7 linked regions of the Rattus norvegicus genome follow. The main gene of each other region encodes a partner of the protein of the gene in region 2 in a complex. Links are inferred from orthologs where the notes say so. Each region holds a gene or a part of one and is shown on either strand. Other genes may lie near its edges. The genes, in order: Vps72, Ing3, Ruvbl2, Meaf6, Morf4l2, Epc1 and Anp32e.

Region 1 (4,523 bases), on a different chromosome or scaffold from region 2:
TCTTCATGTGCACTGAGACAGAAGAATATTTGAATACCACTATAGATAACGGGATCCACTCACGTGTATGTCCATGGAATACTGCAGAAAGCTATGGGAACTGGGAGTTAGAAAGGCCTAAAGTGCAACCTGAGGTAATATAGGCTAAGGTGTCAATGGCAGCTACCCTGGGAAGGGGTGTCATTGTGAGGGGACGTCAACTGGGCTTGGCATATGCTCTCTCCTCTCAATCAGGGACACGACCAATGGATTAATGCTGCCTAAGCAAGCATATAACAAAGGACTGATACTCTAAGTTAGGCAGCACAAATGACCACCATTCTTCTGACAAATGTCTGTGAAAGTGACTCAGAACACATTAATTCTCTCGGCTCTGCTCTGGGATAAAGCATCACCAGACGGCAGAGCAAGTTCCCACTGTGCTCCTGCTCAGTGTCCGTGTTTTACCGCACTGTGGACTTTCTGTCATTACGCTGGGCTCTTCTCCAGGCCTTTAATACACAGGAGAACGTTCTCTATCAAACCCCATTACTTCAGTTGGACCCCGTATAAGTAATAAGAAATTCTCCCTAGAATTTAGTGCTAAATAAATTTGTCTTTCTTGAGTATACTGTATACTTCGGTCTTACAAAAGAACAAATTTAGTTTGGCTGCTAGAAAACTCACAGCTATCAAATGCTATTTCCATTTTAACATGGATTCTTGGTAAAATTACTTTTAATTATATATATATATATATAGTTTTACTTATTTATTCATACATTAATACATTTTGTTCTGCTCATTTTCTATTTTTACTGTTTCTAACCTTTGTTTCCATTGTAAGCCTTGTTACATATCCTTTCTGGAAGCATGAGGTGCACGTATTAAATAACGACTCATAAAATGACAGGAATAGGAAGTGAAACTTGAAGGATGAGAGAGATCTATTTTAAACTAGTTTATTAAAGCTGTGTACATAGTGACTCCTGGTTAGTCATAAAGTCCTGTCTACTCTCTTTCCAAAATCTTCCCTTCAACCCTAACACTATCCCATATCCACCTCCATCCACTCTGTGGTGCTGGGAGCTGGAACCTCCAGCTAAGCTAAACAAGATGACCCTGAGCAAGTGTCATGCCCAGCCCAGCCCTTGTCCTCTTTAGGCTTTACTCATTTACTCATTAGGGTTGGTTGGTCTGTAAGGCTGAGTCAGGATGGAACTGGAAACACAACCCATGTGGCCTGGAACCGGAGGTCATCTTCCTGCACCACCTCTCCGAGATTACCAGCACTAAAGAAATCTTTCTAACCAAAAATTTAATGATGGAGCTTTGATGCTTCATTTCAGACCTTTTTTTTTTTTTTTTTTTTTTTTTGGTTCTTTTTTTCGGAGCTGGGGACCGAACCCAGGGCCTTGCGCTTCCTAGGTAAGCACTCTACCACTGAGCTAAATCCCCAGCCCCGATTTCAGACCTTTAAATGAGAAGTCAAACTGCTTAATACAGCTTCACTATGACCTACAAAATCTGACTGGGAGGTGGGAAGGGAAATCCAAGGGTAGTGACAAATACTTACAGTTACAGGACTCAGGAGTCTGAGGCAGAAGGGCTACCTAAACTTTGAGACCACGTGTAGCAACCCTCTTTAAAATATATATTTATATATGGTAGTGGTGAGACCATTCAGTGGTTAAGAACACTGGCTATTCTTCTAGAGGACCTAGGTTCAAATTCCCAACACCCACATGGTAGCTCAGCACTGTCTGTAACTCCAGTCCTAAAGGCTCTAGCACCCTCTCACAGACATACATGTAGCCAACATCAACACACATAAAAATAAGTAAATCTAAAATATAAAAAATAAATTAAAAATAAAAGCAAGAAAGCAAACAAACAAAATCTATGTAAGGCCAGGGGTAGAGGCACTCCAGAGGCAAAGGCAGGGAGGTCTCTGAGTTCTAGGACAGCCAAGTCTTCACAGAAGAACACTGAGTGGGTGGAGGTGTCAGGTCAGGGGTGGAGGCACCTTAGCTGGCCATATGGTGGCAGAAGCAAGTTGCTGGGTTTGTGTCCTTGCGATCACATGATATAGAGGCTGAACTCCAAGTTGCCCTTTGAGCTTCCTATGCTGGCACACAAACATAATACAACTTAAAAGACCAGGCACAACCCTCTCACCTGTTAGAATATAAGTCTTTATCATACAGTCTTTATCGTACAGTATCCTCAAATTGACTGTGATCCCAGGCAGCTGCCCTGCAGGATAGAGCTTGCTTTTATTTATTGCTAGGGGCCAGTAATCCAGGATCTAGGGCAAGTGATCGACCGCTGAACTACAATATAGTCCCAGCCTCAGGAAGTTTTTAATGTTCCCAAGGAGTCCACCACAAGCTATTAATTATATATGGTATGCTGATCTGGGTATGCAATATATATTCAATCAATGAACAGCTTCTATTAATAAAAATATAGCTAAGTGTCAGCCCTGTACTAAAAAATCGAACTCTGTTACAGACCTTAAAACCAATCAGAAAATGAGAAGTAAACCGAATCTAACTGCAAGCTGAAATTTTGTTTCTATGATGGAAATTAAATGGGGATTCTCTTAGGACAGTCAATAAAGGGTCATCTAAGAAAACAGTATGCTGTGATTTGAAAGCTGAAAAAGAGAGTATGCTAATTAAATCTGTTTCTGGACCGGGTCCTCACACACACGCACACGCACAGCGTCCACCGCCAGCTAGGAGCACATCTTTCCGAGCCTTTCTCAATCCCCGCCCCCTTCCTCTTTGTCTAGGGTTTTTCCCTACAAGACTCCGCTTCCTCGCCTCCCTCTTCTTGGGCCCGGCTCTTGCCTCAGTGAAGCCCCCGTAAGTCGTCTGGTAGAACTCATCTTCCTCCTCTGCTTCCAGGAGCCCAGAAAGCCGGTTTCCAGCGGTTTTCCGTGGGGCTCGGCCCCCAGCCAAACTCATACCGCTTACAGAGACTGCGCCGCCGCCAGCAGCCCCTTACCCAGCTCCGGGTTCTCGCCGATCAGCACTCGACACTATTTCCTGCGGGCGACCGCCAATGACGGAAGTCCGGCGTCTGCAAGCAAAAGCAGTCGAGCGTCGAGCACTCGACGCCTTTTCTTTTCCTCGTCTTTTCCCCTTAGGTAGCTCCTGGGATACACTACCAGGTTTCCTCCTCCTTACCCATATTTTTTATTGTTTGTTTTTCTACAGACAGGTTCTCTCTTTACAGTCCTGGCTGCCCTGGACTATCTATGTAAAGCAAGCTGCACTAGAACTCGTATAGATCTTCCTGCCTCTGCCTCCCAGTGCTGGAATTAAAGGTGTGCCGCCTCATAGCAAGCTCCTTTCCCTCTCCACTCCCTCTTGCTTTTTAATTCTCCTAGAAGCCTTTCTAAAAACCCTGGCCTTGGGGCTGGAGAGATGGCTCAGCAGTTAAGAGCGCTGACTGCTCGCTCTTCTGGAGTCCTGAGTTCAATTCCCATCTACTGGTGGCTCACAACCATCTGCAGTGAGATCTGATGCTCTCTTCTGGTGTGTCTGAAGAGAGCAACAGTACACTCACATACAATGAATGAATGGATAAGTAAATAAGTCTTTAAACCAAAACAAAATATCCTGACTTTTTAGTTCCCTTCCTCTAAAACTTCAATGGCAGTCAGACCTGTATTCTCATCAATGGGGTAGGAGAACCACATGTTCAAGACCTGTCTAAGTAATTCAGCAGAATTTTGTTTCAAATTTTAAAAAGTAAAAACGAGTCTGGGGGTGTGCTTGTTAAGCTTTATGTGCCCTGATAGGTTATTTCTCTGCTGGTGAAATGATCCAATTCAAGCCAAATTAGATTATATAAAAGGCAGGTTTATTGGGAAGCCACTCTTAGGCAAATTCACTGACCACAAGGGTTGAGGCCAGGGGAGTTACCATTGGAAGAGAAGGGGGACAGGGAGATAGAAAGTATGAGTGCAGGCAAAGAGAAAAGAGTGAGAGACAGACTGAAATGTTTACATTATGTAGGGAGGAGCTTCTGGAGGAAGGGCAGCCCAGTTCCTGGGCTGGAAAGTTCAAGGAGCATAGTAGATCACGTAGGGACTGAGCAATGGAAGTTCCAGGCCAGCCTCAGCCATGTAGAAAACTCTTGTCTCAAAAACAAAACAAAACCACAAGCAACTAAGTACTTGGCCTAGCATTCCACACCTTTTTAATTCTAACCCTCAGGATGCAGAGGCCAGGAATCTCTACAAGTTAGAGCCCGGTCTACATAGCAAGTTTCAGGCCAACCAGGGCTATAGTGTGACCCTGTTTTAAAACGATAACAAAAACAAGTAGCAGCAGCAATGTCAAAAGTGTGATGTTTGAGGTTTATAATCCCAGCATTTGGGAAAGAGACTGAACTGGAAGATCTGGACAAAGCAAAATAAAACAAATCCCTAGACTTTGAAAGTCTTTCAGCAGTGTGACCTTGTACAAGTAGCTTTACATTTCTGAATCTCACATTTTTGACTGTAAAATGAGACATGCTTTTTACATTTT
Region 2 (4,660 bases):
AGGAGTCCAGTAGAAGACAGAATTAGAGGATCCCAAGAGGACTAGTCCCTATGTAAGAATGAGTAAGCAATAAACTCTTTTCATCTAAGAGGCCAATAAGAAAACATGCTTGTCTTGGACTTAGAGGCCAATAAGGAAGGAAAAGTCCCCCTTGAGAGTATATAATGAAGTATTTTCATTACAGGTTCCAATTCAATCTCTCTGTGCAATATAATAAACCTCAACTACATAACTTAATTTGGCCCTAAGTTTGATGGTGTCTTGCAGCAAAGTTGCAGAATCAAATGCTAATATTCTCTAGCAAAACTCAATTTTAACTCCAGCCGTGAAAAATCTTCACATTTATATCCCCCAGAAAAGTGGATTCAGAGGTAAAAACCTCAACCCAGATGAAATTAGGCCCTGTGAGCAAATGTGGTTGATTTTGAAGAAAGAGTACAAATAGACAAATAGTTTTTAGTATGGAATTTAAACTAAACAGATGTAGACTACATATATTTAACATTCAAGTAATAAGAAAATGGCTTTAAAAGAGAACAAATGAATAAAAAAGTGTCATTCTAAATAAAATTGTACTATAAAAATATACAGAGTAGTGAATAAAATGCATCATACTGATTTTTTTCTTTTGTATGAGATAGGGTCTTCCGTAATCTACGTTGGCTTCTAAATGCCTATGTTGCCAAGGCTCACACTCCTGATCCTCCTGTCTCAATTCTCCTAGTTAGGGCATTACAGGTGTACGCCTCTGTAGTCTAAGAAAGGATCATTTCCCCCCAAACACAGAAGTATTTATTTAGTGCACGATTTTTTATGAAAGGTATTTTAAGACAGAAACGGGGCCGCGATACACTAATTATACCAACATTTGCTAGGGTTATTAAAAGAGCCTGCCCAGAATTATAAACCTTAGCCCAGCTATTTACACAACATAAATTCACGTCATTGTTAGTATATGCCAGCAATGCATTAAATCACCAAAATTTATGGATGGTCGTTATTTATGTATTTATTGCAGATGCATTAGAACAGTTGTTTTACAATGAACACAAGATACACTGCAAACATAACTGGCTACTGCATACAATTTTGAGTATCTTTTAATTTGGGGAATGCACATTCCCTCCGGTCTCACTACAAATTATCTTAACGTTGCAGGGACACCAATCACTTGTCCCATTTATTTATCAGGAGTGACTTATGAAGATTAAATTCCAGCAGCGAGTTCTGTTCTAAACAATCTGAATTTTCCGAACTTAGCCGATTATTCTAGCGTTTGGAATCTTTGCTATGTGCCTAGCACAGCCAGAAATCCATGACTCACAAACGGCGGGCTTGGAACCACAGCACAGAACAGGTGAAAAGTTGTTCCTAGTTGTGTCAGGCAGGCGCATACAACTCCCGTCATCCCCTATGCAAGAAATCAACAAATAAACAGAGTCACCGCATTTCGGATTCTGGCGTGCCCGTTTCGCGCAGGCGTGTGGTTTCTGTAGTTGCCACTCTAAGAGACAACCACACTGGTGGCTACGCTCGGGGAAAAAGATGACTACATTTCCCAGAACTCCGCGGAGATCCGCACCGGCCGGTTGACGTCATCGCTCCAGACAGCCAATGGCAACGGCGGGCGGCAGTGAGGCAAGCGCCGTCAGGCGCCAAAGTGGAGCCTTTTTTTTTTTTTTTTGCTTTTTTTTTTTTTTTTTTTCCTTTGCCGGAGTCGAGCGGGTGCTGCTAGCGGAGGCGCCATATTGGAAGGGACAAAACTCCGGCGACAGCGAGTGACACAAATAAACCCCTGGACCCGTTCGTCTCCGCAGCACTCAGGGCCGCGATGTTGTACCTAGAAGACTATTTGGAAAGTGAGTGCGCGGCGCCGGCAACGCGGCGGGCGGGATCGGCGGCGGGCGGGAGCGCGAGTGGCCGGGCGGGCGGGATGGCGGGAGGGAGGGGGAGCGGGGGATGTTTCTTTCTCACGGTAACTGGCAGCCTCGTTGTGAGCCGCCCCCCCCTCACGCACGCACGCACGCACACACGCGTGACGCCAGCGCGTACCTTCGCCGTTGGCCCCGCCCTCTGACGGACTGTGCCTTTGACAGTGATTGAGCAGCTTCCGATGGACCTGCGGGACCGCTTCACGGAGATGCGCGAGATGGATCTGCAGGTGCAGAGTAAGTGGCGCGTCTCCACGGCCCCGCGCAGCCCCGGCCTCCCTCGGGCATCGCCTGGCGGGTCCTCCGCGCTACTTTTTTCAGGCTGTTACAAGGAGGCGGCAGGCACACCATACCGTTAACACGCGGGGCACAGCAAACACTGTGTTTGTGTACTGCATGGAGATGACGACACTGCACCGCAGTGGAAACTCGCGTGATTTTCAGAAGGTTTGCACCTGAGCCTGTATGTGGAACTTGGAGTTCTGCATTCAGACTTAAAAGTTCATTACATTCCTAATTTCTCAAGAGCAAAGACAGAATGGCAGGTTCTGTGCAGCTGGTTAGGGACCCTAGTGAACTTGGAAGGCCGAACTTTGACAAGTTGCGTATTAATAGAAGACACTTAGAGCTCTCAACAGCGTGGTCATTTTCTTAGCCAAAAAAATGAATGAGAGAAATCAGATTTTGCCGAAACCATCCTATTGCTTTTTAGAAAAATGTAGACATTTGGTAGGATGTCCTACTCATTTCTTTCTTGTTTTCTAAACACAGTCAAGTAGTTCAGGCTGGTCTCATACTTACTATGTATCCTAGGCTGGCTCTAATCTCCTGGTCTTCCTACTTTTGCCCACCTAGTGCTGGGATTACAGGCATGGCTAGCTGTCAGTGCTTGGCAGTTTTATGTGTGACTTGTTTCCAGAATGAACCTTGTTCTTTTGAAAAGCTAGACTGAAGAGGCTCAAAGGTAACTTGAGTTTGCTAAGGGCTTGTTCTTATCATTCTTGGCCCTCTGTCACCCCTCCCATCATTTCTATACCTTTTGTCCCCGACTATACTCATCTCAGTCTCTGGGTCATCTCTTGGGGTTCATTGCCCTGTAGCCTGTCATAAACCTGTGACCAGTATAGGCATGCTTCTTTTTTTGACTTTAAGGTAGTTGCAGTAATAAACATCTGCTGAGGCACATTCCAGAGGGATTGAGTAGAGCTTGGGGGCAGACACACTTGGGTTCACTCTCGGAGGACTCCAGTTCCTTATCTTTAATGGCTGCATTGCTACCTTGGGGGCTTGCTTACTCCCCCCCCCCCCTTTGTAAACAGACAGTCTTCTGAGCATTTAAAATAATACAGATAATTAGGATGTATAATACCCATTACAAATAGGTTTAGAATAAACGATAATTTAAAATATTTTCAATCATTCAGTTCTTTAAAATTCTGGGATAGTTTGGATTTGGTCTATACATGTGACAGTGTTTTCAAGTTTACTTCTACTATAACCCTGGAGTTTTCCAAAACAGTGAGTACACATTAACAAAAGTGTCAGCATGGGTACCGTCAGCAAATGCAGCTGGAAGTAAACTGTGTTTGACAATCAAGATTAACTAGAATGTCTCACCATCTTCTTTAAAAAGCCATCCTGCACTGAAGTTGCTTAAATGATGAATATAAATAGTGGTCAAGTTTTTCTCCATTTCCACCACAACAAAATCCCTTTGATTTATTTTTTAGCAGTCTTCCACTGAGGTCATTATTTTCGACCCAGGCCTTGGCGAACCTTTACATAGAATGAATAGCATGTGTGTGAGTGAGTTAATGGTGTCTCAAGTGAGCAAACAGTCACATACATCATACCTTCCTACGAGAGGATGTGATGAGGTGCTTGGCGCTCTCTAGCAAACATTGACTCTAGTGTCACAATTCTTATTAAAAGAAGTCTGAGAACTTTGCAGCAGCATTGTCAGTAAGCAACTCTGATTGCCATAACCAGCTGACGTAATGCCATTAGCTTTGATTTCAGTGCTGTGCTGTTCCAGGGTCGTGGCCTAGATCCTTGTCCATGTGGTTAACGCTGCCTTGGTTATTGGAAATTGTTTTGAAATAGCAAAGTCAGTAGAGAATATTTCAGCTTTTTAAAGCTAAGGTAATGAAGGCATTACTGCTCATAGCACAAAATGCATATAAGCCACTAGCAAACTAAGACAGTACATTGTTGTTGTCAGACATCTTTTCTTTCCTCAAATCAAAGCAGCTGGGTCGGCTAAGTATGAAATGTTTTATTATGTCAGATGCAATGGATCAACTAGAACAAAGAGTCAGTGAATTCTTTATGAATGCAAAGAAGAATAAACCCGAGTGGCGAGAAGAACAGATGGCATCCATCAAAAAAGTAAGTGCAATGCCTTCGATGATTGTCAGTCACATGGGGACCCTTTGGAAGGGATATTAAAATTAGGGAGATACCTGGATATGGGGTGAGAGGCTTGGGGGTGCTTGTTACATTTTAGAACAGCAGCTCTCAACTAAGGGGACGAATGACCCTTTCACAGGGTTGCCGGAAAGCACAGGAAAATACATTACGATTCATACCAGTAGCAAAGTTATAGTGACTCAGTAGCAGTGAAAGTAATTTCCTGGCTGGGGCTCACCACAGCATGAGGGCCTGTGTCAAACTGTTGAAGGGTCACAGCATTCGGAAGGTAGAAAAGCACTGGTTTAGCGCTTCCTGTC
Region 3 (4,094 bases), on a different chromosome or scaffold from region 2:
GTTTCTCTATTATACTGAGCGGCTCCAGAACCTGGAATGCAAAAGCCAGGTCAGGGATAGAATGAGACACTGGCTATGTCCCAGGGGCTGCTGCTGTGGCTGCTGCTGAGCCCAAGTGTGGTGTGGGCCTCCAGGGGCCCCCTTCGGCCACTGTGCCGGCCTGTCAACGCAACCCTGGCTGCAGAGAATGAGTTCTGCCCAGTCTGCATCACCTTCACCACCAGCATCTGTGCCGGCTACTGTCCTAGCATGGTGAGCTGACCAAATGGGTATGGACATCACTTCCGCCCTACAGTGCTGCTAGCAGTCCTACAGGTGGGGGCAGTGGGGTACAGGGAGATGGCACCTGGGCAGGGATCACAGCTACTGTGGGGGCAGGACCAGGTGGGCATTCTGCCTAGAATGGCTGCAGGGGGTGGGGAGGGGGCGCAGCACAGGGGAGGGACACTCAGATGAGGACTTTCTCCACCCTGCACTCAGGTTCGAGTACTGCCAGCTGCCTTGCCTCCCGTGCCTCAGCCAGTGTGCACCTACCGTGAGCTGCGCTTCGCCTCTGTCCGCCTCCCTGGCTGCCCACCTGGTGTAGACCCCATAGTCTCCTTTCCTGTGGCCCTCAGCTGCCGCTGTGGGCCCTGCCGTCTCAGTAGCTCTGACTGTGGGGGTCCCAGGACTCAACCAATGACCTGTGACCTTCCCCACCTCCCCGGCCTTCTCCTCTTCTGATGCCCACCCACTAACTCCCCATTCTTCTGGAGCCAGCAGGTGTTCTAACCATCCCTCCCAATAAAGGCTTTACAACTGCACTCCGATGTCCTTTTGTGTGATCTGAGGATACAGCAGAACTCCAGTTTTCAATAATTTTATACAAAGTCACAGTGTTAGAACTTGTAGAAAACAGGCTGGGAAGGGTTGGGGTGCAGTGTCAGCTCAGGAGGTGTCCATTGTTTCACCTTCTGCAGAGAGGGGAAGCCAAATGTGAGGGAGCTCCTGGGTGCTCCCATGCAGCCCCTCCCACAGTGGCAGCAGCCTGGGATACTCACTGAGCTCATTGAAGAGGAAGGCGTCCTGGTATTCCTTCATGTACTGTGTGGAGCGGGATTCATCCAGGAAGAGGGAGTATACGCGCTTGATGTCGTCCACCTGCACCTCCGTGCCCTGAGAGCAGGTGGGGCTCAGCTGATGTCAGCACGGGGCCACCCCCACCACTAGGTTTTTTTCTCTAAAATGCCCGGGCACCGGCTGTGGTTCTTAGTCCCCACTAAATATCCATGTACCATGGCTCAAGGGCTACCCCAGGGCCACCCCTCAGTCCTCCAGGCTAACTCGCTGGCTGACCTTTCGTTTCCGGCACACCAGGCTGGCCGCTGTGATGAGCTGGATGGCGTAGCGCAGGGAGGTCTCGAGCCCAATGCGGGTCAGCACTGTGTAGGCGTCCTCACTCATCTCCACATCTTCCTCCTCACAGCTGTGGGAAGGCAGGCCAAAACGGCAGGCATATCACCCACCCATCCCATAATATGCATGGATACTGGGGTCTCGGAACCACGGATGGTGAGGCTAAAAGAGCCACGGGCACAGGAGGGCCTCCCACCCCATCTTTCCCGACTCAGTGTGGGGCAGATGCCACACCGGATACGTAGGATCTGTTTGGTGTCCTTCTCACTGTAGGGCGATGTTGACACAATGAGCAGCCGGTCTAGCAGGTCAATGGGGATGCCGTGGGGACTTTGGTAGCTGGTGCCTCGGATCCTGGGGGTCAGGGAAAACTGTTAATGGATGCTTTTCAAAAACATACGTGCCACCATAGCCCACTTGGGAACTCAGTAACTGTGAGCACTGGCTCTCATCCCCAGTAACACACTTCTCGGCAGCTGTGCACACTAGCGGCTGTCCTGTGCCCTGCTGCCCTGGCAAACCCAGTTCCTGGTGAGCAATGGGACCCATGGCAGTTTGTTCCAGGCATGGGAGCTTAGCCATCGATATGAGAGTACTGTTCTCCAGGGGCTGGCTCAGGACAGCTGCCAGATCTAACCTACCACTCATGGACTTTCAGGGACTGGGGAATTGCAGTGAACATCAACTAGCAAAGGGGACCTTAGGGCTGCCTCCCCTCCCCCCTGCTACCTTCACATCTATGGCCTTGGGCAAGCTGCTCAGCTTTGCTGATCTACTCTGTGAAGTGGGAGTAGTGGGGAGAATGAAGTGCAGGCAAGGTAGCCAGGTCCCAGCCTCTTAGGGCTGTGTGCCATCCGCCTTCACCACAGCTACACCTAACTGCAGTTGCAGGGGGCCTGAAAACTTGTGTCATCTGTGGGTACCACATGCATGTGTACACACACACAGACACACACATAAAAGTAAGTCAGAGAAGAAAGAGGGGCTGGAGGGATGGTTAGAATACATACTGTTCTTACAGAGGAGCCCAGGGAGAGTCCCAGGACCTGCACCAGGCAGCTCACAACTGCTTCTAAGTCTAGCTGCAGGGGACCTGCCATACTATTTTGGATTCTGCCCACACCTACATTCATACCTGCATATACTGCCTCCCCCACATTCAAACAACAACAACAACAACAACAACAACAACAACAACAACAAAGACGCCATGCTAAAAACACGAGACAAGGTGATGTGCTTGATGAAGTCATGAGCCATCGTCAGGAAAAGTCTGGCTATCCAAACCAGTTTGTATACTCTCTTATCTACAAAGGGTCTCATGAAGCCCAGGTTGACCTAGAACTGAGTCCTTTCTCAGCCTCCATATTACCAGGACTGTGGTTGGAGCTGACATGCCCAGTGTCCACAGTGTCTTTAGGTCAATACATGTGGTCTGTGACGATTAAGTGGCGGGGTCTGAGTGACGGACTGATCACAGCAGTTTGTGACATATCTAATAGATAGCCCCGTGCTCAGCATAGGGTAAACTTCCCAGGGCCCTTTGGGTGCCTGCTCCAACAAGTTTAAATCCAACTTGAAGAGATTTTCTATCTGTCCAGGATTGTGAGGACCACACTGGAGGCAAGCTGAGTAAGGAGAGGAACTCAGCAGATGGTCATTCACCTTGAGGCCACCATCAACCCCTGGCCCAGAGTGCCCTTGCTGCAGAGGCCTCTAAAGCTGCTCACCGGGTGATGCCTCGGTTGGTGGCCATGATAAGAACAGGCGCCATGTCACTCTCCAGGGCCCGGTTTAGGAAAGAGAAACTCTCAATGTCCAGCATGTGGACCTCATCGATGAACAGCACCTGGAAGCCATTAGGGCACAGATCAAGCTCTCTCCACCTGGTACCTCAGGGCTAACCATACCCTCCTGGGCTGCGGCCACTCACCCCAGGGATGATCTCCGCTTTGCCCTCCTCCCTCCACTCTGCCACCTTGGCATTGATCTGTTCTCGGACTTCTGACTTGATCTCCCCTGTGTCTCCTGCCAGAGATGGGGGTGTCAGTTAGAATTAGAGATTGAGCCCAGGACCGGGGTGGGTGAAGAGAGAGACAGAGGAGCACTGGGGAGGAGGGCTCTGGGCTGCAGCAGCAGGGCCAGAAAGGACAGAGGGAGTGACCCGAGGGAGGACTCGAGGGCAGTGTAGGGAAGGACACACTCAGACGGGGAACAGAGACAAGCAGCAAGTCTGTAAAGAAAGCTAACAGCGCCAAGAAAGAGGCAGAAAAGCTGGGGGTGGGGGTGAGCCACGCTGAGGGAGACAAAGGATGTACCAGAGCATTCAAGGTGTTGGGGGAAGGGCAGCTGACCTGAGAAGAGAGCCAAGAAGCCCTGAGTGCGGGAGTTGATGACGTCAATCTCATGGAGGGACACGGTGTGCACCACCTCCTTGCGTTTTTGCAGCTCTCCGTCTGGGCACTGCACAAACTTGGTCTACAGGGTCAACGGCAGGTGTGAGGGCAGCCAGGACACAGCCTGGAGCCCCACACTGGGAGGTAACCCAGCATCCAACCCCATGACATAACAGAAGATGGAGAAACACTCCAGTGCTGGGTTGGGGATGAGCCAAGCACCTGGGAGCCCATGGCATCATAGTCTCGGGCACGTGTGAAAGAGCGGCCCAGCTTGGAAATCTTGCCAGTGGCCTTGTCGAT
Region 4 (3,860 bases), on a different chromosome or scaffold from region 2:
GAAATGGGTGTATCGTGAGTGCGGTCACACATGTTCCATGGCATGCATGTGAACAGCTTTTGGGAGTTGATTCTCTCCCGACCAAGAAATTTACTTCCGACCATGTGGTCTCAGGTCTGCACAGGGACGCTTCCACCTGCTCGCCCTTCTTGCTGGTCTCGTCTGCTTTTACGTTTTGTGTGTTTGCTATTTGTTTGACTGTGGTTTTGAGATGTAGTTCAGGCTGGTCTTGAATTCCTGATCTTCCCTCCTTGGCTTTCCCAGCCCTGGAATTACAGGTGGATGCTACTGTGCTAACACTTCTCTGTTTTTCTTTTTTTTTTTTTTTTTTCTTTTTTTCGGAGCTGGGGACCGAACCCAGGGCCTTGTGCTTGCTAGGCAAGTGCTCTACCACTGAGCTAAATCCCCAATCCCTCTGTTTTTCTTTTTTAAAAAATTATTTACTTATTTATATAAGTACCCTGTAGCTGTCTTCAGACACACCAGAAGAGGGCATCAGATCCCATTACAGATGGTTGTGAGCCACCATGTGGTTGCTGGGATTTGAACTCAGGACCTCTGGAAGAGCAGTCAGTGCTCTTAACCACTGAGTCGTCTCTCTAGCTCTCTGTTTTATCTTTTAGTTTGTCTGTCTGTCTGTCTGTCTGTCTGTCTCTCTCTCTCTCTCTCTTTCTCTGTGTTTGTGTGTGTGCGTGTGCACGTGTACTTTGTGGTGCTTGTGTGAATCCTGAAGGACAACCTCAGATGTTAGTCTTTTCTCTCCTTCATGAGATGAGACAGTCTCTTCTTATTCTCCACTGCATTGTATAAGCCAGCATGCTGGCCCGGGGCTCCCAGGGATTTTCCCGTCTTAGGACCCTATACCCTACAGGAGATGAGTTATAGGCGTGTGCGTCTGTGTCCAGCTTTATGTAGATTCTGGAAATCCAAATTTAGGTCCTTGCACTACATACAAATGTTTCACCCACTGAGCCATCCGCTCAGCCCTCTTCCTGCTTTTTATTTTCAGACAGGGTGTCCCTTTGTAGTTTTGACAGACCCAGAACTTGATATGTAGACCAGGCTGGCCTTAACCTTGACGGTGATTCTCCTGTTTCAACCTCCTTCTGCTTTTTGTTTGTTTTGTTTTTGCCTCTGCTGCTTCTGGTGGCTACATATTTAAAAAATGCTAATGTAAAGGCAGAAGGGAAAACACTGACCCCTGACCTTCCTGCAGACACAGACCCTTCTGACCATCTTTAGGGACAAATACTAATGTATTTGGGTCCATTAGTAGTTGAGTAGAATTCGGGTCTCTCCCTGTCCTTATCTAGTGATGGTTTCCAGAAGCTGGACATGGTGATACACAGCTGTGACCCGAGCACTGGGGGGAGCAAAGGCAGAGGGCGGGGGCCCACGCCATGGAACTCTTTTTTTCTGTAGCTCAGGCTAGTCATGGACTTGGGGCTTCCTGCGTCTGATGCCCTGCCTTCTCCTGCTTCTTCTTTCCTCCTTCCTACCTGTTGGGTGCAAGGATTGACCCTGGGCTTAGTTCATGCTGTGTGAGTGCTTTACTCTGTAGCCACCCTACCCTAAGACAGTATTTATGAGATGTTCTTGAACATGCATGCTTCTGTGTAAATATATCCAAGTGATTTTGATGATGATGATGAAGAAGAGGAAGAGGAAGAGGAAGAAGAAGAAGAAGAAGAAGAAGAAGAAGAAGAAGAAGAAGAAGAAGAAGAAGAAGAAGTAGTAGTAGTAGTAGTAGTTTTTTATGTAGCCCAGGCTGTCCTTGAGCTTGAGATGTCCTCTCACCTTCCCAAGTGCCAGGATTATAGGCATGTGCCACCCAGCCTGACTGTTGAAATGCTGTTTTGAAACTGGTGATTTATGTCAGTTGAACATTAATTACTACTTCATTCAGGCATTCCTGGGCTGATGGTCTAGCTTACTGTACCCAAGATTGCCAAAGGCAGGGGAAAACTCATGGTGGGACATCCCTGTAATCTCAGCACTCGGGAGCCGGGGTCGGGAAGACCAGAAGCTCATGCTTGAGTAGGTAAGCATGTGGCTAACCCTGAGTCTGCTCCCTGAGAGGTGAACGGGGAGAGCCGGTTCTCCTAAGCTGTTCCCTGACCTCCTTTTACTTGCTGTGGATGTTAATTACTGTGTATGGCAGTGAGGAAATACCATGACCAGAAGTGACTTACAGAGGAAAGTTTATCTTGGCTTCCTTTATGGTCCAAGAATGGGTTCCCTGTGTAGGAAGCTGGCTGGTTATATTTTGTCGCACTTGAAGGAGAGAGAGAGCAAGAAGTGGGGTGAGACCCCCACCCCTGCCCAGCCTTAGTGGCTTCCTTCTGCAGGTTATTCGCTCTCCAAGCAGCTCCACTACCTAGACAGCAGGTATTCAAAGCCCTGGGCCTGCGGGGACAGGTCCATTGAAACCACCCTGCTGCAGCACCCCCACCCCGACATATACACAAATAAGCAAAATGTAGTTTTAGAAAGATAAAGGAGGGGGAGCCGGAGAGATGCGGTTGTTAAGGACGCTTGCTGCTTCTACAGAGGACCCTGGCCGGTTCCCATCGCCTGTGTCTGACAGCTCTGGGAGATCGATTTCCTCTCACTTCTACAGGCCCTGTGAACTCACCTCACGGCCTGGATTCACATGAGACCGTATCTGTCTCCCCTCCAAAAAAAAATGTCCACGACCTCAGTAATTGAGGGATGGGCTAGACTCTGCTTCCCAGTGGGTACCTTTTCTTTTCTTTTTTGAATTTACTCTTTAGATCATATGTATGTGTCGGGGTGGGGTGTGTGTGTGCATGTGAGTGCAGGTACCCAAGGAGGCCAGAGGTGTTGGATCTCCTGGAGCTGCATTCCAGCAGGTGAGCCTTATGACATGGCTTCTGGGAATTAGACTCTGGTCCTCTGCACGAGCAGTACCTGCTCTTAATCTCAGGGTCATTTCTCTAGCTCATCCCCCACCAACTCTTTATAGAAAGACGGGATTCTCTGATGGTTTGTCAGTTTTGCCAAGGTGTCCCTGCCTCTCTTCAGCGTGCCCCATATTGAAGTGTCCCTTATGTAGAGGGCGATGCTCTGAGCTGCGGTCACCTCTGTCCTCAGAGCTGATGCAGACCACGTGGACTTCAGGGACTCCCTAGCTTTGGTGCGTTGAGCGCGTGTTCCTCAAGGGAAAACCTTTGTGGATGACAGGGACTCAGGAACACTGATCAGGCTTTTGGGGCCTGTTCTCTTTCCTCTAGGGGAACCAGGAAGTGGGACGGAAAGCGATACTTCCCCAGACTTCCACAATCAGGAAAACGAGCCTGCGCAGGAGGACCCTGAAGACCTGGACGGCTCCGTTCAGGGAGTGAAGCCTCAGAAAGCTGCCTCTTCCACCTCCTCAGGGAGCCACCACAGCAGCCACAAAAAGCGGAAGAATAAAAACCGGCACAGGTTAGTGGCAGGGTCCCACCCAGAGTCCTCACCTGCTGGGCGGGACTTGGTTGGCGTGGAGATGCCTGGGACAGTGGCAGAACCCTCAGGTTGTGGGTGGCAGAAATTCTTATATGCAAGTCAGGTGGGGTGGAGTCCTCTGAGGGAGGAGTGGGTGGCGTAGACAGGCCCTGAAGGATCAGTGGGAAGTCACCAGGATGAAATGTGACTCCCATTGTCATGTGGCATCATGAGCTTTTGGGTCCTCTGCTAAGAGGAAAACAGGGAAGTAGAAATGAGTCCTCGGAAAAACTACTCTGGTTGTTGGGAAACCGTGATCTGGGATGGAGTTCTCTCAGCCCTGGGTCCCGTCTGCTCCTTCGAGAGCTAAATTGACATGCCTTTTTGACTTTTTAAATATGGGTTTTGATTGT
Region 5 (3,860 bases), on a different chromosome or scaffold from region 2:
TTTTGTTTGTTTTTTTTGTGGTGAAAGGGGTGTTTGAAGATTGAGGTATAGTTGAATTAGTAAAATGCTTGCTTATCTTTAGTGTGGTTGAAGATGGAAGAATGAACTTAACATGGTTTTGGCTAGGAATACATATTAAAACAGTTCTGAGATAAATTGGGCTACATCACAAAAGCTTCTATGTAGGCAACTACCTTTAATTCCTCTTGGAATATATCCTTCAGAGATAACTTACCTAGTGGTCTTAATATAGTTATGCATTGATGTCTAGTATTGGTTCTTTTTGTAATAATGACATTTGGAACACTGTCTACAACAGTGGAGCTGGGAGCATTAAAAACCTTTAACATCAGACACTAAAGAGCCCTCCAAGGGAAAGCATTGGTCAAAAATAATTTGAAGAGATCCTAGAAAATGATAAATTTACCAAGAGCCAACTCAAAAGGACAAAGGCATATACAAATGGGGGGGTAGATTTCTGTTAACACAGGTGCAAATTGGACAACAATAAGTGTCTTTTAAAGCTATTGAAGGTTGGCAATGTAACTCAGTGGTAGAGCAGAAAAGAATGAAGGTTAGCTTGCTGATGCTTACCAAAGGGTGTGCTGTGGTGTGATTGCTCATTTTAAGTTAGAGTTTTTGAAGGGTAAGCAATTTAGCACCAGGGTAAAAGCCTTAAATGTGTTTATACCTTGCTCCGCTAAATAAATCAGCCAGGAGTGAAACAAATGTCATGGCCTAAAAGGTGTATTTCATAACCTTAACATAACTATGGGAACATAGTTTTCTTTCAATGATTTTTTTTTAAAGTGAGAGCTAAGATTTAATAATACGTGCTTACCTCACAAACCTAAAAAATGATACTTTTCTGGATTATTCTTGAGCTAACTTTAGAGATTGATTAGAAAAATTTTCTACTAGTCTCTGTGCTTCTGCAGAAGATCCAAGGTTATAACACAAGCCCTGTGGTAGGACTTTTATTGTATTTAAGTGAGGGAGAGGAAGTCTGGAGTAGAGTAGGTATGCTAACTGAACTGAACAATGTTTAGTAGTGGGGGATTGGAAGGAAGGACCCACAAAGTGGATTCAAAATTTTAGGACCACACTATGTGCTAATAAGTTCCTTGGTAAGGAAGTACTGATGACCAAGGCAAATGCTCTACTACTGGCTTACATCCCCAGACCTCAGCAGCCTCCAAAACACCTGCTTATTTTAGTAGGTGTTGATCTCTTAAGAAAAATGGGTTATGGTCCTCCAGAGCACTGTAAACAGAAACCCACTCCCCATTCACACATGGATTTTGTTTTTTGAGGTGGTCCTTGGTAAATTAAAGCTGGAATGCCATCCTTTACTCGGGGAAGGGGGTACCCTGAATATGTAACAGACTCATGTTTTACACATTTGCACACTCATTTAAGACAAATGGAATCACACTGTTAATAAGAGCTGTGCTACTAACCCATTTACCTAAGGACATTAAACAGTTTTCAGTGTCAGTATGTAGATAGGCCTCTGCTTAAGTCACTTGGGTATTCTGTAGTGTGCATGTGTAATTTGTATCACCCTTTCCCTGCTGAAGCTGTAAATGTCTGCAGTTCCTCATTGCTCGTGCTACTTTAGTGAACCGCCCTCATTCACATGTAGAAATGGTCATGTGCGGTACTATGCTAGCTGTTCAGTAACATGACATTCTTATAGTAGCCTATAGCAACTAGGAATAGTTTCTTGTGCTTGAATATACATGTCTTCAGTTCCATTTTGCAGATCACACACTATTTTCCTTCCTATATGTAAGGCACATTTGTAACTTTTTCTTACATGATTTTGTAAAAGTTCATCTTCATTGCATATCCCTACTTTCCTTTCTAGGTTGTATTCCCACTTCATCTTTCCAGACCATCCTAGGAGATCTGTAAGATTCCATCTGGGAGATTACTAGGAATCCTTGGAAGGGAGAGAAGGAACATTGTGTAAGTCAAGGGGTTGTCGAATGAGTCAGCCATCGAAGCAGGAGGCTTGTTTTTTAATTCATTTTCACTGAATATTGTTTCTCTTGAAACTCAACCTCTTTATCTTCCAAAGTCACATATCTTCTTACTCTCCGATGGAGGGCTCACCATTTAATCTGTGGTCTCTTGCTAACTCCTCAAATACTTTTTTGTTCTTTACATTTTCTGGAATTCTATGTCTGAAATTCTGCCTGTTTTTTCTTCAGTGAAGAGGTTCACTGGTTCATAGTGTGTGCTATAAGCTACACGATAAGAAATCTCCATTTCTTTACTCTGAGTTTGAACATTCTCTCTTTGAGTGCACACTGAAGATAATAAAAAGTCCAAAACTAATCACCTTTCTCCTCTAAGCAGTTTATATAAATACCATCTCATTTGATGGTGATGGTCATCCATCCTTAAAGCCTGAAAGTTGTCAGTAACTCCTTTCTCAGTTTCTCATCTCTTCTAAAGTTACTAAAAGAGATCTTTTATGCATGTAACTATCAGTGGACTAATCTTGTTTTCTGACAGTGTCAGACAAATCCTTAAAAAAAAATCTGTGCTTTACTAAAACTACCCAGGCTCAGTCGTGCAGAGCCCATTTTGACTCTAACCTTTGATCATTGCATTCCTCTGTGTGAATTCTGTGCCATCGAACTACTCAAGGCCTACCTAGACCTGTATACACAAACCTTTTCTGTTAATTCACCTCCAACTTCCTTATTCCTTTCAAATTCTTATTCTTGTTCCAAAGTCTTGCATTTCAACTCTGCTTCCTTCTATCTCTAAAATTTCTCTAAAATTAAATCCCTATCTTTTAAATAGCATCAAGAGATATATTTGTGGGCGTGTTTATTGAATTATTAGGTGAGGCAAGAGTTGTGGGCATTAGGATAGAATTTTGAGATAGAAAACAGAAAAGCATTTATAAATGGTCCTCTGAAATAGGACCTGAAATCTATATTCCAACAGACTTTAGCATATGTTGTGGTCTGATGGGTCATAAAATCACCATAGTAAACAACCAAATACAATACTTTATGTATTACAGTGGTTGGAATAAAAACAGGGTTGAATGAGTTCCAGAAAGCAGGCTTCTCAAACTCGTGGACAACAATCTGCTGAAGAAGACAACTTTAAGAAACCCACTCGCAGCAATATGCAGAGAAGTAAGATGAGAGGAGCTGCCTCAGGAAAGAAGTCAGCTGGTTCGCAGCCGAAGAATCTTGATCCAGCCCTCCCAGGAAGATGGGGAGGTCGCTCTGCTGAGAACCCCCCTTCTGGTTCTGTGCGGAAGACAAGGAAGAACAAGCAGAAGACTCCTGGCAACGGAGACGGTGGCAGTACCAGTGAAGTCCCCCAGCCTCCTCGGAAGAAAAGGGCACGGGCTGACCCCACTGTGGAGAGCGAGGAAGCATTCAAGAGTAGGATGGAGGTGAAGGTGAAGATCCCTGAAGAATTAAAACCATGGCTGGTGGAAGATTGGGACTTGGTTACTAGGCAGAAGCAGCTGTTCCAGCTCCCTGCTAAGAAGAATGTAGATGCCATTCTTGAGGAGTATGCCAATTGCAAGAAGTCACAGGGAAATGTTGATAATAAGGAGTATGCCGTTAATGAGGTTGTGGGAGGGATAAAAGAGTATTTCAATGTGATGCTGGGCACTCAGCTGCTGTACAAGTTTGAGAGGCCTCAGTATGCTGAGATTCTGCTGGCTCACCCTGATGCGCCAATGTCGCAGATCTATGGGGCGCCACACCTGCTGAGATTATTTGTGAGAATTGGGGCAATGTTGGCCTATACGCCCCTTGATGAGAAAAGCCTGGCACTGTTGCTGGGCTATCTGCATGATTTCCTTAAGTATCTGGCAA
Region 6 (4,539 bases), on a different chromosome or scaffold from region 2:
AGACTAATTTTTGATTGTCCATGATCTAGCAATTGCTGCCATGAAAAAAAAGAATTAGTTTTCTATATATTACATTTTTAAAGGATTTTTAATGATAAAAAAATTGGCTTTATAATTCTGAGTGTAACCACACCAAACTCATGCACTAAATCATAAAATGCTGTCAATTAAAAAGAAATAATTCCCAAAGAATCAAGAGCTATGAGGAAGCAGCGGGTACATGTGAAAATGGAGACTAATATAAACTAGGGAATTATCTTCGCCTCATAGATTTAAACCTCTTTACTTCCACAGTGATGGCAAGGTCACATCTAGAAGAGTATGTGTGATAGAAATGTCTGAGTGATTTTCAGAAGTAACGATTGAACTCTAATGGTTACTTCATAATCAATGATGTAATAGTCAGGAGGAGAACAAAGAGGACTGCATAGCCACGGATGGACTTCCCAGCTGGGTTTGCTCTTAAAAGGGGTGACATTAAACAACCATAGCTAGTTTCAGAAATTAAATAAAATGAAAATCACTACATTATGGAGGACAGAATATTTTAGCAATAAACGTGCCGGAAGGAATATTTTATTCAGATGATCAACTTCAGAGAGCTAAAGCCTCCAGCATCACCAGGTTAGACAATATTTACACCTGCAGTATTTCATTCCATACATAATCTATACTGTCAGAAGCCACACTTGAAGCTGCATTTAGACTTCACAAAGAAAGAGAGAATGAACTACGCTAGTGAATACTTCCAAACCTTTTGAGCATGCTACAAACAAAATCTAAGGCGTTGGGCTTGTTTCTTCTGAAGTTGAAGGAAGGAGATAAACAGATTCTAGGAAATACTATTTCTACTCCTGTTCACACATTCTCTACTCCAGACTGTTAAAGGATCAGTGGAAAGGGCATTTACAGATGTCAAAGTAAATAAAGACTCTTGACTCCTGACACGACAGTCACTCTCTCAAGACATAACCTGTTAGTCAGATAATCCAAATGCTGTTTCAGTTTTCACTTTACTTGGTAAACAATGCATTTCAAGGTAAATTACAGATCCCTCCTACTTTCTTTTTGAACTGAAGACATCTTCACAAACAACTAAAATGTTTACAGAGACCAGTAAAGCCGATGTCATATTGTGACATATTTTTGTTTTTGGCAGGCTTTGGGCCTAAATCCCTTAGTCTCTAATCAGATAACTCTCAAGAACAAAGATATAACACCTCCTTAGAAATGTATATGTCAGTATTTTTAAGTAAAAAAATATGTGTGCAATATTCTTAAAAAATTATCTTGTTCCAACAACAAAAAACATTTGCTCATTTTAAAACAAGGCTGTCTATAAATTCAATCCAAGGGGGGCAGCTCAAAATAAAACAGACATGACACCCTACCAGATCACTCTCAAGACAGATTCAGAATACATATTTGAGAAATCCCTTGATTCAAAAATGAAATTCAACTTTTACAATGTCCAAAGAACTAATACACAAACGTTTTGTTATACTGAAACGGCGCTAATGGGCATGGTTTTGTAAGACAAGAAAAGCATCCATGGAGGAGAGGGCAAAGGACAGCTTATTATTAAAGAATCCGATAGAGATAATAAATGAGATGAGATGGAACATAACTGCCAACTGAATGCTTGTCCATAATGTCCCCTGGATTGGCTGTGACGACATTGTCTGTTCTCACCATGGTGCACAGTCCACAGCAAACACTTAAATAACACTGCTGACCAAATTGAACTTTCTCTACGAAAATTAAAGGATAATAGATAAAATCTTGCCCCACCTTTTTTCTTCCTTTTTTCTTTTAGTAAAACTGACAAATTGTTGAGGAGCACTACAGCGCCACCAACACAGATCAGTGCAGAACAAAAAAAAAAAAAAAAAAAAAAAAAAATCTCCCACCGTGTGCAAAAAGAAGAAAACTAGAAAAATGCCAAAAATTACAAAATGTCTCCCAAATGTAGCTTTCCGGAGAAAAAATAAGATAGATCTGCAGAGACGAATCGACAAAGAGCTTTAAGGAAATCACATCCTAGACCACAAGTTAGGTCTGCTCAGCAATAAAAGAGCCACTATTTAGCAACAGCCATAACTTAAACCCGGTTAGTCAATCTCCGCCTTCATTATACCAGAGCTCCTTTCTGAAGTATTCCATCAAGGGAATCACAATAGATCTATTTTAAAAAACCAAAACAAAACTACAACGGTAGTTTGCTTGTTGGTAATTTACTCTGGACAAATTAGGCAATAGATAATTTTTATAAAGAGGATACGTACATATTTGGCACTACCAACATTCCTGGCACACAAAAAAAAGTCCATCTTGAAACATCTGAGTTCCCCTTTAGTTCACAGCAATTAAAGTATAATTTTCATTATACATGTTTATCTTTAACAATGGAGAGGAAAACTATTTTTTCCCCTTTTGGGAAAAAAAAAATTATCCAGACAAAATTAGGTGGAACGTGCAGAGATCGAAGCTAAAGAAAAATACAAAGATTGGTTTTGTGAGAAGAAACACAATGAAAACCTCTCTTATCTGGTGCTCCTTTCGAGGATGTAATGCCAAGAATGTTTAAAATTATAAACTTACCATCGGTGTAGGCAAAGCAGCAGCTAGCTCTCAAAAAAAAATTGTAACAATATAGGCTGAGGTCTGGGCTGTCCAGAAAAAACAGCCTCCGGGCAGCGTACGGGTCTTCAAACATCCTGAAAATATTTGGTAAATCAAAAGTGAGACTTTCGTCCATGGAGGGCGCGGAGCGGGGCGGGCAGCCGCAGGATCCGAGGGCGTCGGGGGGAATGGAGCAAGCTGGAGGCTGCGGAGCGGGCGGCGGCGGCAGGCGCGGGGTTAACAACTCTGCGCTGGCGGGCGAGAGGGCGGGCGCGCGCGCCCATTGGCTGGCGGCTTCCGGGCTCCGCCCTCGCTCCCGCCTCCCGCTGCTCGGAAAGAATGCGCGACTGTGCCATTTTAAACCGGCTCGGGAGAGCGCTGCTCCCCAGACTTTGCTCGGGGATCGGGAGTAAGTGACTAGCACAACAATGGCAGCAGCCGTGTCCTCCGAGCATCTGGGCACGCCCTTGCGCGCGGCTCGTTGGGGCTCCACTCGAGACGTCCGTGTGGGACGTGGATGCGGCCGCGGCCGCTGGGAAAGATGCCTATCCGTGGGTTCTCGGTGTGACGTTCCCGAGGGCCTCCTGAGGCCGCGAGCACCACGCGGCTCGAGTGTCCCTGCATTAGCCTCGAGTGAATCCTGACATAAGTTGAAACCATATTCAGCTCCCCCACCCCCTCCCATTTCAACGCTGCTCTCAAACCCCTTCCTGGCCGGCCCAGTTCTACCGCTCCGCCCTACAAACAAAATGGCTGAGGTGCCCAGTATTTTGGATCCTTCCACCCGGCCTCCAGGAAGTGGTAGAAATTCAAAATAAATTAAGCCCTAAAGTACACCCTTGAGTGTGAACTCCTTACCAACCTTTGCTGCTGGTGCTAGCGGGAATGCCCTCTTTTTTGTTCTTTTTCTTCTTCTTCTTCTTCTTTTGTTTTGAAAAGAACATCAATCATTAGGGATTTACTTGATTGTAATTTGAACCTCCTGTTTTACATATTTATAAGGTCTTTCACCTAACTTGGCAGGCTTTCAGATTAAGTGGGCTGGGAAACACGATTCTTTCTAGTTGGGCGCTGAGTAGGGCTGTTTCAAACAGGCTTTTCTAATACAGTCTGAAAATTAAACGTAAAAATGTTAAAGGAATCCAACACTTGTAATTGCAAATGTAAAGTCCCCAAAGTCGGCTAATATCAAAGTGTTTCCATAACTTAAATGTGTGAACTAAATGTATCCACTGTGCAATTAATTCCTTGCCAGAAAATTTCTAATGGGCCAACGATGAAAGAAAATACCAAAGGATGAAAAAAAAAAAAAAGATAGAGAATAGTCCACATTCTTCAAGACACTTCCCTCCCACACCCACTCAACTCACCCCACACGGAGGTCTGATATACTGAATATTTAATAGGCACCTTTAAAACTATACCTAGGGTTATTATCATACTCACTGTCTACAACAAGACGCGGGGGGGTGGGGTGTGCTGTTAATTACAGGACGATTAAAATAAACAGGGCTTGCCTCCAGTAAACCAGAGGGCTGACAAAACCAGAATTCTATGAGACAGGTAGTGACCCACAGGCTTGGGGTTAACTTCAGTAGACTGAGCCAGAGTCTCCATCCAGCATCTATATTTTGCACCTGATCTGAAGTAGATAACTGGGGTAGACCTGGATTCACAAATATTTACCGAGTAGCTATGATTAAAAACAAAAATCTGGACAGGAATAGACTCTCATGTAAGTGTACAGATAGGTCCTTTTTTATTACCTATAGGCTAGACTGTTCTGAGCAGTTTGTAAGTTATTCATATTCTTAACCATATACTTTCTGATGAAATAGTTGGTTTTCCAGCTCTTGAAGTCATATTCATGGTATACATGAACAGGTTTTTGTTTTTTTCTCTGTGTTTGAAGGCAAA
Region 7 (4,659 bases), on a different chromosome or scaffold from region 2:
GAAGATGTTGAATTCCCTGGAACTGAAGTTATGAATGGATGGTTGTGAAGCACCACTGGGGCTTCTGAATGAACAAGTAAATGTGTCATAACTCAACCACACACCATCTCTCCAGCCCTGAGGTGCACGCCTTTAATCTCAGCATTCAGGAGGCAGAGGCAGGTGGACCTCTGAGTTTGAGGCCAGCCTGGTCTACAGAGTGAGTTCCAGGACAGCCAGGGCTACATAAGGATCCCCTGTTTTGTATTTCCCCCCGCCCCCTAAGAAAATAAAAATAATATTTTAAAGAGAGAAAGGGTTTGTTTTAGTTCACAGATCTAAGTAGAGCCCATCACAGAAGGAATTGCAAGGAGCTGGTCACATCTCAATCAGGAAGCAGAGAAAAAGGAATCTAAAAGAAATAATTTTGTTGTTATTTTGAGACAGAGGCTGGCCTTGGATTTACTGAGTAGACTGGTCTGGAGAAATCTGCCTGCCTCTCTCCCTTCTGAAGGCTATGATTAAAGGAATGTACCATTATCCGGGTCTTACAGGAGCATTAAACAGAAAAAAAAAAAGGTGTTTTTTTATTTTATTTTAAATTCACTGATTTTGTTTTTATGTATTTGGGTGTTTTGCCTGCAAGTGTGTACATGCAGCACATCTTTGCCTGTAGCCTGTGGAGTCCAGAAGATGCTACTGAATTCCCTAGAATTAGAGTTACGGATGATTATGGACCACCACATGGATGCTAGAAATCGAACCAGGGTCCTGTGGAAGAGGCCATTGCCTCTGCAGACCCACACTTAAAAGAACATTTTAAGTAGGTTCCTGTAGGAAAGGAAAGGCCTTGCTGTGCGGCTTCTGAGAATTGTGTTGTTTTTCCTCTAAGGTGCCAACTTTTTTGTTTGTTTTGTCTTTTGGAGACAGGGGTTTTGTTTGTTTTTCCTGTGTAGTCCTGGAACTGGCTCTGTAGACCAGGCTGGCCTTGAGTTCAGAGATCTACCTGCCTCTGCCTCTGGGCGTGCTGGGGTTAAAGGCATGCACACCACGCCTGGCTCTAATATTCCAACTTTTTAGCAGTGACAAATGACCTCAGTATCAACTCCTCCTGGACAGTTTTATTTAAAGGCTTCTGACTCAACGTGCTAAACTCAACTGCTTTCAGAGTCGTTCCGCCTTTTACGGTGGAAGTTAAAATACCTTCTTTATCACGCTCTGGTTCTACAAGCAGTTCTGGACGGGGAGGTGTCACGAACACGCTGCTCGTGCTTGCGCCCATGCTTACACCTCAGCCGCAGGGCAGAAGGCTTGTGCTTTAAGACCACCGAAAGCTCTGAGTGCAGTGTGTTGCATGACCCATTTACAACCTGGGAACGCCAACGACGCCTTTTCCCTTCCTTTTAACCCTGAAGCCAGAAAAACCCCAAACAAACAAAAACAAACCCAACAGACACCCAAACCGTCCTACTACCGAAGGAAAGCGCGCCAACCACACAAAGAAAAGGAGGGGGGCGACTGGGATTCAAAATCATTTCTCTGGGACGTACATCTTCCCGGACCTATCGGAATTAACTGCGCGCTTGGTCAGAGCCAATAGACACTGAGTTTCTGGTCCAGGTCCCCCCTAAAGACAAATGGACAATCCTCTAGCCCAATGGAGTAGTGTGACGCTAAGGACTCGGCCAATCCCGTTGGGAGGTGGGTGGAGTATAGGCTGGGGGGGTTGGCGGTGCCGTGTCATGGAGGCTCAGTCTCGCAGCAGCCATTGAAGGGGAAGGAACTGCGGGCGCGCGCGTGTCTCTCTCTGTGTGTGAAAGTGTGTGCGTGCCCGAGTGTGCGCGCGCGGGTGTGTGGACTAGGAGGTGGGGGCAGCCGAGTTAGTCCCAAGTCGTCAGACTCCATTTGCTATTCTTTTCTTTCTCTCCCACACCCCGGTGGTAGTGGGCGTTCGTCTTTGCGTCTCTTTTCATTCATCTCCAGACCTTTAGAGGTTTTTTAGGGTTGGGGGTAGTGGGGAGGGCAGGCGAGGGGAAAGGAGGAGGACATGGAGATGAAGAAGAAGATTAACATGGAGTTGAAGAACAGAGCCCCGGAGGAGGTGAGATGACTCAGCCCCCATCTTCCCCTCCCTCCCTGGATCGTGAGGGGTGGGCTTCGGGGCTCCGGGTGGGTGCGCAGGGCGGGCTGGGAAGCGCGCCCCCACTTGGGGTGGGGGTGGGGTGTTTATTTTAAGTTTTAAATCACCAGGCTCTTGTGCTTAAAATGGCGAAGGGCTTAAGTTTCTAGGGGCATTTTCGTGAGCGCGCGGGGGCTCAGCCCCATGGCGTCCTCGCAGACTGGCGGCCCGGCCTCGCGAGGGCGGGCGGCGTGGGCGCGACCCCCGGGCCCTCGCCACCTGCGAAGTTGGTGTAACTTTCCCGCGGCGCCGCCAGTCTGCGGGCCGCGGCCCCGGGCGTGGGGCTCGGGGCCGATCTGCGCCCCGCGCTCCCTCCGACCGTGCCCATTCGCGGGCAGCGCGCGCCGTGGCCGGGGCCGCAGCGGAATCCCGGGACCCGACGGCGCGGGCCGCGATCCGCGTGGCGCGCGGACTTCTACGCAAGCGGCAGGTTCCTGTGAGCCGCGCTGCGCTCTGTGCGGCGGTAGGGAAGAGTCCGGAGGTTCGGAGGGGCCCCGGGAGGCGTCGCCTCCGAGCCCCCCGTCTTCGGATTCCCTTGCGGTTCACGCCAGGTCCGCGGGTCTGGTGATTGGCGGCGGCGGGCGGGTTTCGGGCTCGCTCGTTCGCGGCCGTGGCGTGAAGTCGAGGGATGGGGTCCGCGCTGTAGTGGTCCCTTGACGCCCGCGCAAAGGCGGCCGTCTGCCCGGCCTTCACGGTTATCGTGCAGAGCCACCGGTCCTTAAGCCCTGTTCATTTTCGTGGTTGGTGTGCGGGTTCCTGTGACTTGAGGCGAGAGCGGTGGTGGAAACATTGTTGCTGTGAGGGTTATCTCTGCGAGGACTAGAAGTTTTCTAGAGCCTCATAGAAGATTCTAGAAAAACTCAAAAGTTGAAAGCTGTCAGCAGGACGTGATGACTGATATCTGTAATTCTGTATATCTGTAAATCCTTACTTCTCATATCAAGAAATTCCCAGCCCTTGGGAGGGAGGCCGAGGTAGGACGATGGTTTCTAGTGGGACTCATGTCAAACAAGGCAAAAAAAAAAAAAAAAATCAAAAGCAGTTTCTCAGAAACCTTGTGGTGCAAAAGTGGGTCGTCCCCTCTGCCCCATTCTTTCACCTTCAGTTTGGAGGGTTGCTCGATGATGACTTTTTTGCAGTCTCCTTCATTTGGTGTGGTGTGGTAACAGCCAAGTTTATATAGATAGTTTATAAGGCACCCCGTTTATTTAATTTCTCCTTGGGGAAACGTGTAAGCTGGATTGTATTCTAGAATCCAGATTAGAATAGGAGTCTAAAGGCAGTGAAGTTGAAGAGCTGGGATTCTGACACTACATCTACAACCCTTGCCAAGTTCTTGGTCCCTGGCTAAGACTAAAATCCAAAGGCTTAAGAGTTGCTTGGTGTGGTAGCTTAGGCTTTTAATCCTTGCACTCCGAGGCAGAGGCAGGCCAATCTTTTTGAGTTTAAGGCCAGCCTGGACTAAATAGTGAGACTACAGCTGTCTCAAAAACAAACGAACAAGCCGGTGGTAGTGTCCCACAAGCCTCTAATCCCAACACTCAGGAGGCAGAGGCAGGCAGATCTTTGTGAGTTAGAGGCCATTCTAGTCTACACAGAGACCCTGTCTTGAAAACCACCAAGACAGATTTAAGAACCAAAATGCCCCTACCTGGCCCTGTTGGTGTGACCTGTCACCTTTTGTGCCTCAGCTTCCCTGTGGATATCCCAGGGATGTCGTTGTACAAGTTCCGCTCATTCAAATAATGATGCCAGAGTTACATTCAAGTAGAGAAGGTGAGGGTTGTTGTTGATGAGTTTTACCTTTAAATAGACACTTTCACTCTGGGGATAGAGAACAGGCTTTGCCTTGTGATTACATCGATGAGGTGCACCAGGTGAGTTTTGTTACTATATCTCAGATCTGTGGCTCAGTAGTTAAGAGCCAGCACTGGAACAGTGGCACACAGCTGCCAGGGGGTCAGATTCCTCTTCTGTCCTCTGAAGGCACCGGGCACATTATGAGGAAAAAAATGGATACACATAAAAAAAAATAGATAAACTTACAGCCCAGAGATACGGGGTTAAGAGCACTGGCTGTCCTTCCCAGTCGTTCCAGCACCCACTTGGCAGGTCACTACTATCTGTAACTCCAGTCCCAGGGACTGAACACCCACCCCACCCATCCTCTGGCTTTCATGGGTACTGCATGCACAGGGTACACGGACATACATGCAGATAACCAGTTCCTTCCCCCTCCCTCCAAGAGTGGGACTGGTGGGCTGTCTTAGGAGCTTTCTGATGTTACTCTCTGAAGGGTAACAAGGTTGGAATGGTACTGGCATTTATCAGCCAAAAATACAGAGGATTAAACTGAAAAAGTGATAAGCTACCCCTTGTAGCTTTGCGTCTCCTTCCCAGGTAAGTGTAGGTCAGGATAGTGCCTCCTGCCCACAGTCGAACATACTTTAGTAGGACCTTTTTCACAGTTGGGTTTTCTGCCTCAGTGATTTGAAGCAGGC

Evidence for each region.
Region 1: Ing3 (region 2) and Vps72 share a complex: the UniProt entries of both Homo sapiens proteins name them as parts of the nuA4 histone acetyltransferase complex. The link is inferred for Rattus norvegicus from reciprocal best matches to the Homo sapiens genes ING3 and VPS72.
Region 3: Ing3 (region 2) and Ruvbl2 share a complex: the UniProt entries of both Homo sapiens proteins name them as parts of the SWR1-like complex. The link is inferred for Rattus norvegicus from reciprocal best matches to the Homo sapiens genes ING3 and RUVBL2.
Region 4: Ing3 (region 2) and Meaf6 share a complex: the UniProt entries of both Homo sapiens proteins name them as parts of the nuA4 histone acetyltransferase complex. The link is inferred for Rattus norvegicus from reciprocal best matches to the Homo sapiens genes ING3 and MEAF6.
Region 5: Ing3 (region 2) and Morf4l2 share a complex: the UniProt entries of both Homo sapiens proteins name them as parts of the nuA4 histone acetyltransferase complex. The link is inferred for Rattus norvegicus from reciprocal best matches to the Homo sapiens genes ING3 and MORF4L2.
Region 6: Ing3 (region 2) and Epc1 share a complex: the UniProt entries of both Homo sapiens proteins name them as parts of the nuA4 histone acetyltransferase complex. The link is inferred for Rattus norvegicus from reciprocal best matches to the Homo sapiens genes ING3 and EPC1.
Region 7: Ing3 (region 2) and Anp32e share a complex: the UniProt entries of both Homo sapiens proteins name them as parts of the SWR1-like complex. The link is inferred for Rattus norvegicus from reciprocal best matches to the Homo sapiens genes ING3 and ANP32E.

Annotation. Positions count from the first base shown.
Region 1 is NC_086020.1:185,366,127-185,370,649, reverse strand, and holds the start of Vps72 (vacuolar protein sorting-associated protein 72 homolog), read right to left. Parts: upstream 3,013-4,523; 5' UTR 2,952-3,012; coding exon 2,835-2,951; intron 1-2,834. UniProt on the Homo sapiens protein: Deposition-and-exchange histone chaperone specific for H2AZ1, specifically chaperones H2AZ1 and deposits it into nucleosomes.
Region 2 is NC_086022.1:51,442,048-51,446,707, forward strand, and holds the start of Ing3 (inhibitor of growth protein 3), read left to right. Parts: upstream 1-1,763; 5' UTR 1,764-1,831; coding exon 1,832-1,859; intron 1,860-2,096; coding exon 2,097-2,168; intron 2,169-2,195; exon of another isoform or gene 2,196-2,378; intron 2,379-4,218; coding exon 4,219-4,319; intron 4,320-4,660. UniProt on the Homo sapiens protein: Component of the NuA4 histone acetyltransferase (HAT) complex which is involved in transcriptional activation of select genes principally by acetylation of nucleosomal histones H4 and H2A.
Region 3 is NC_086019.1:105,037,644-105,041,737, forward strand, and holds the end of Ruvbl2 (ruvB-like 2), read right to left. Parts: coding exon 4,014-4,094; intron 3,874-4,013; coding exon 3,750-3,873; intron 3,424-3,749; coding exon 3,329-3,423; intron 3,245-3,328; coding exon 3,126-3,244; intron 1,750-3,125; coding exon 1,630-1,749; intron 1,466-1,629; coding exon 1,336-1,465; intron 1,156-1,335; coding exon 1,041-1,155; coding exon of another isoform or gene 954-1,040; coding exon 928-953; 3' UTR 844-927; downstream 1-843. Other genes in the region: Lhb (lutropin subunit beta isoform 1 precursor), read left to right, coding at 85-252, 481-723. UniProt on the Homo sapiens protein: Possesses single-stranded DNA-stimulated ATPase and ATP-dependent DNA helicase (5' to 3') activity; hexamerization is thought to be critical for ATP hydrolysis and adjacent subunits in the ring-like structure contribute to the ATPase activity.
Region 4 is NC_086023.1:142,642,862-142,646,721, forward strand, and holds part of Meaf6 (chromatin modification-related protein MEAF6), read left to right. Parts: intron 1-3,254; coding exon 3,255-3,447; intron 3,448-3,860.
Region 5 is NC_086039.1:104,875,599-104,879,458, reverse strand, and holds part of Morf4l2 (mortality factor 4-like protein 2), read left to right. Parts: intron 1-1,870; 5' UTR 1,871-1,971; intron 1,972-3,043; 5' UTR 3,044-3,067; coding exon 3,068-3,860. UniProt on the Homo sapiens protein: Component of the NuA4 histone acetyltransferase complex which is involved in transcriptional activation of select genes principally by acetylation of nucleosomal histone H4 and H2A.
Region 6 is NC_086035.1:59,286,708-59,291,246, forward strand, and holds the start of Epc1 (enhancer of polycomb homolog 1), read right to left. Parts: upstream 2,813-4,539; 5' UTR 2,605-2,812; coding exon 2,602-2,604; intron 1-2,601. UniProt on the Homo sapiens protein: Component of the NuA4 histone acetyltransferase (HAT) complex, a multiprotein complex involved in transcriptional activation of select genes principally by acetylation of nucleosomal histones H4 and H2A.
Region 7 is NC_086020.1:186,159,834-186,164,492, forward strand, and holds the start of Anp32e (acidic leucine-rich nuclear phosphoprotein 32 family member E), read left to right. Parts: upstream 1-1,758; 5' UTR 1,759-2,026; coding exon 2,027-2,080; intron 2,081-2,636; exon of another isoform or gene 2,637-2,709; intron 2,710-4,659. UniProt on the Homo sapiens protein: Histone chaperone that specifically mediates the genome-wide removal of histone H2A.Z/H2AZ1 from the nucleosome: removes H2A.Z/H2AZ1 from its normal sites of deposition, especially from enhancer and insulator regions.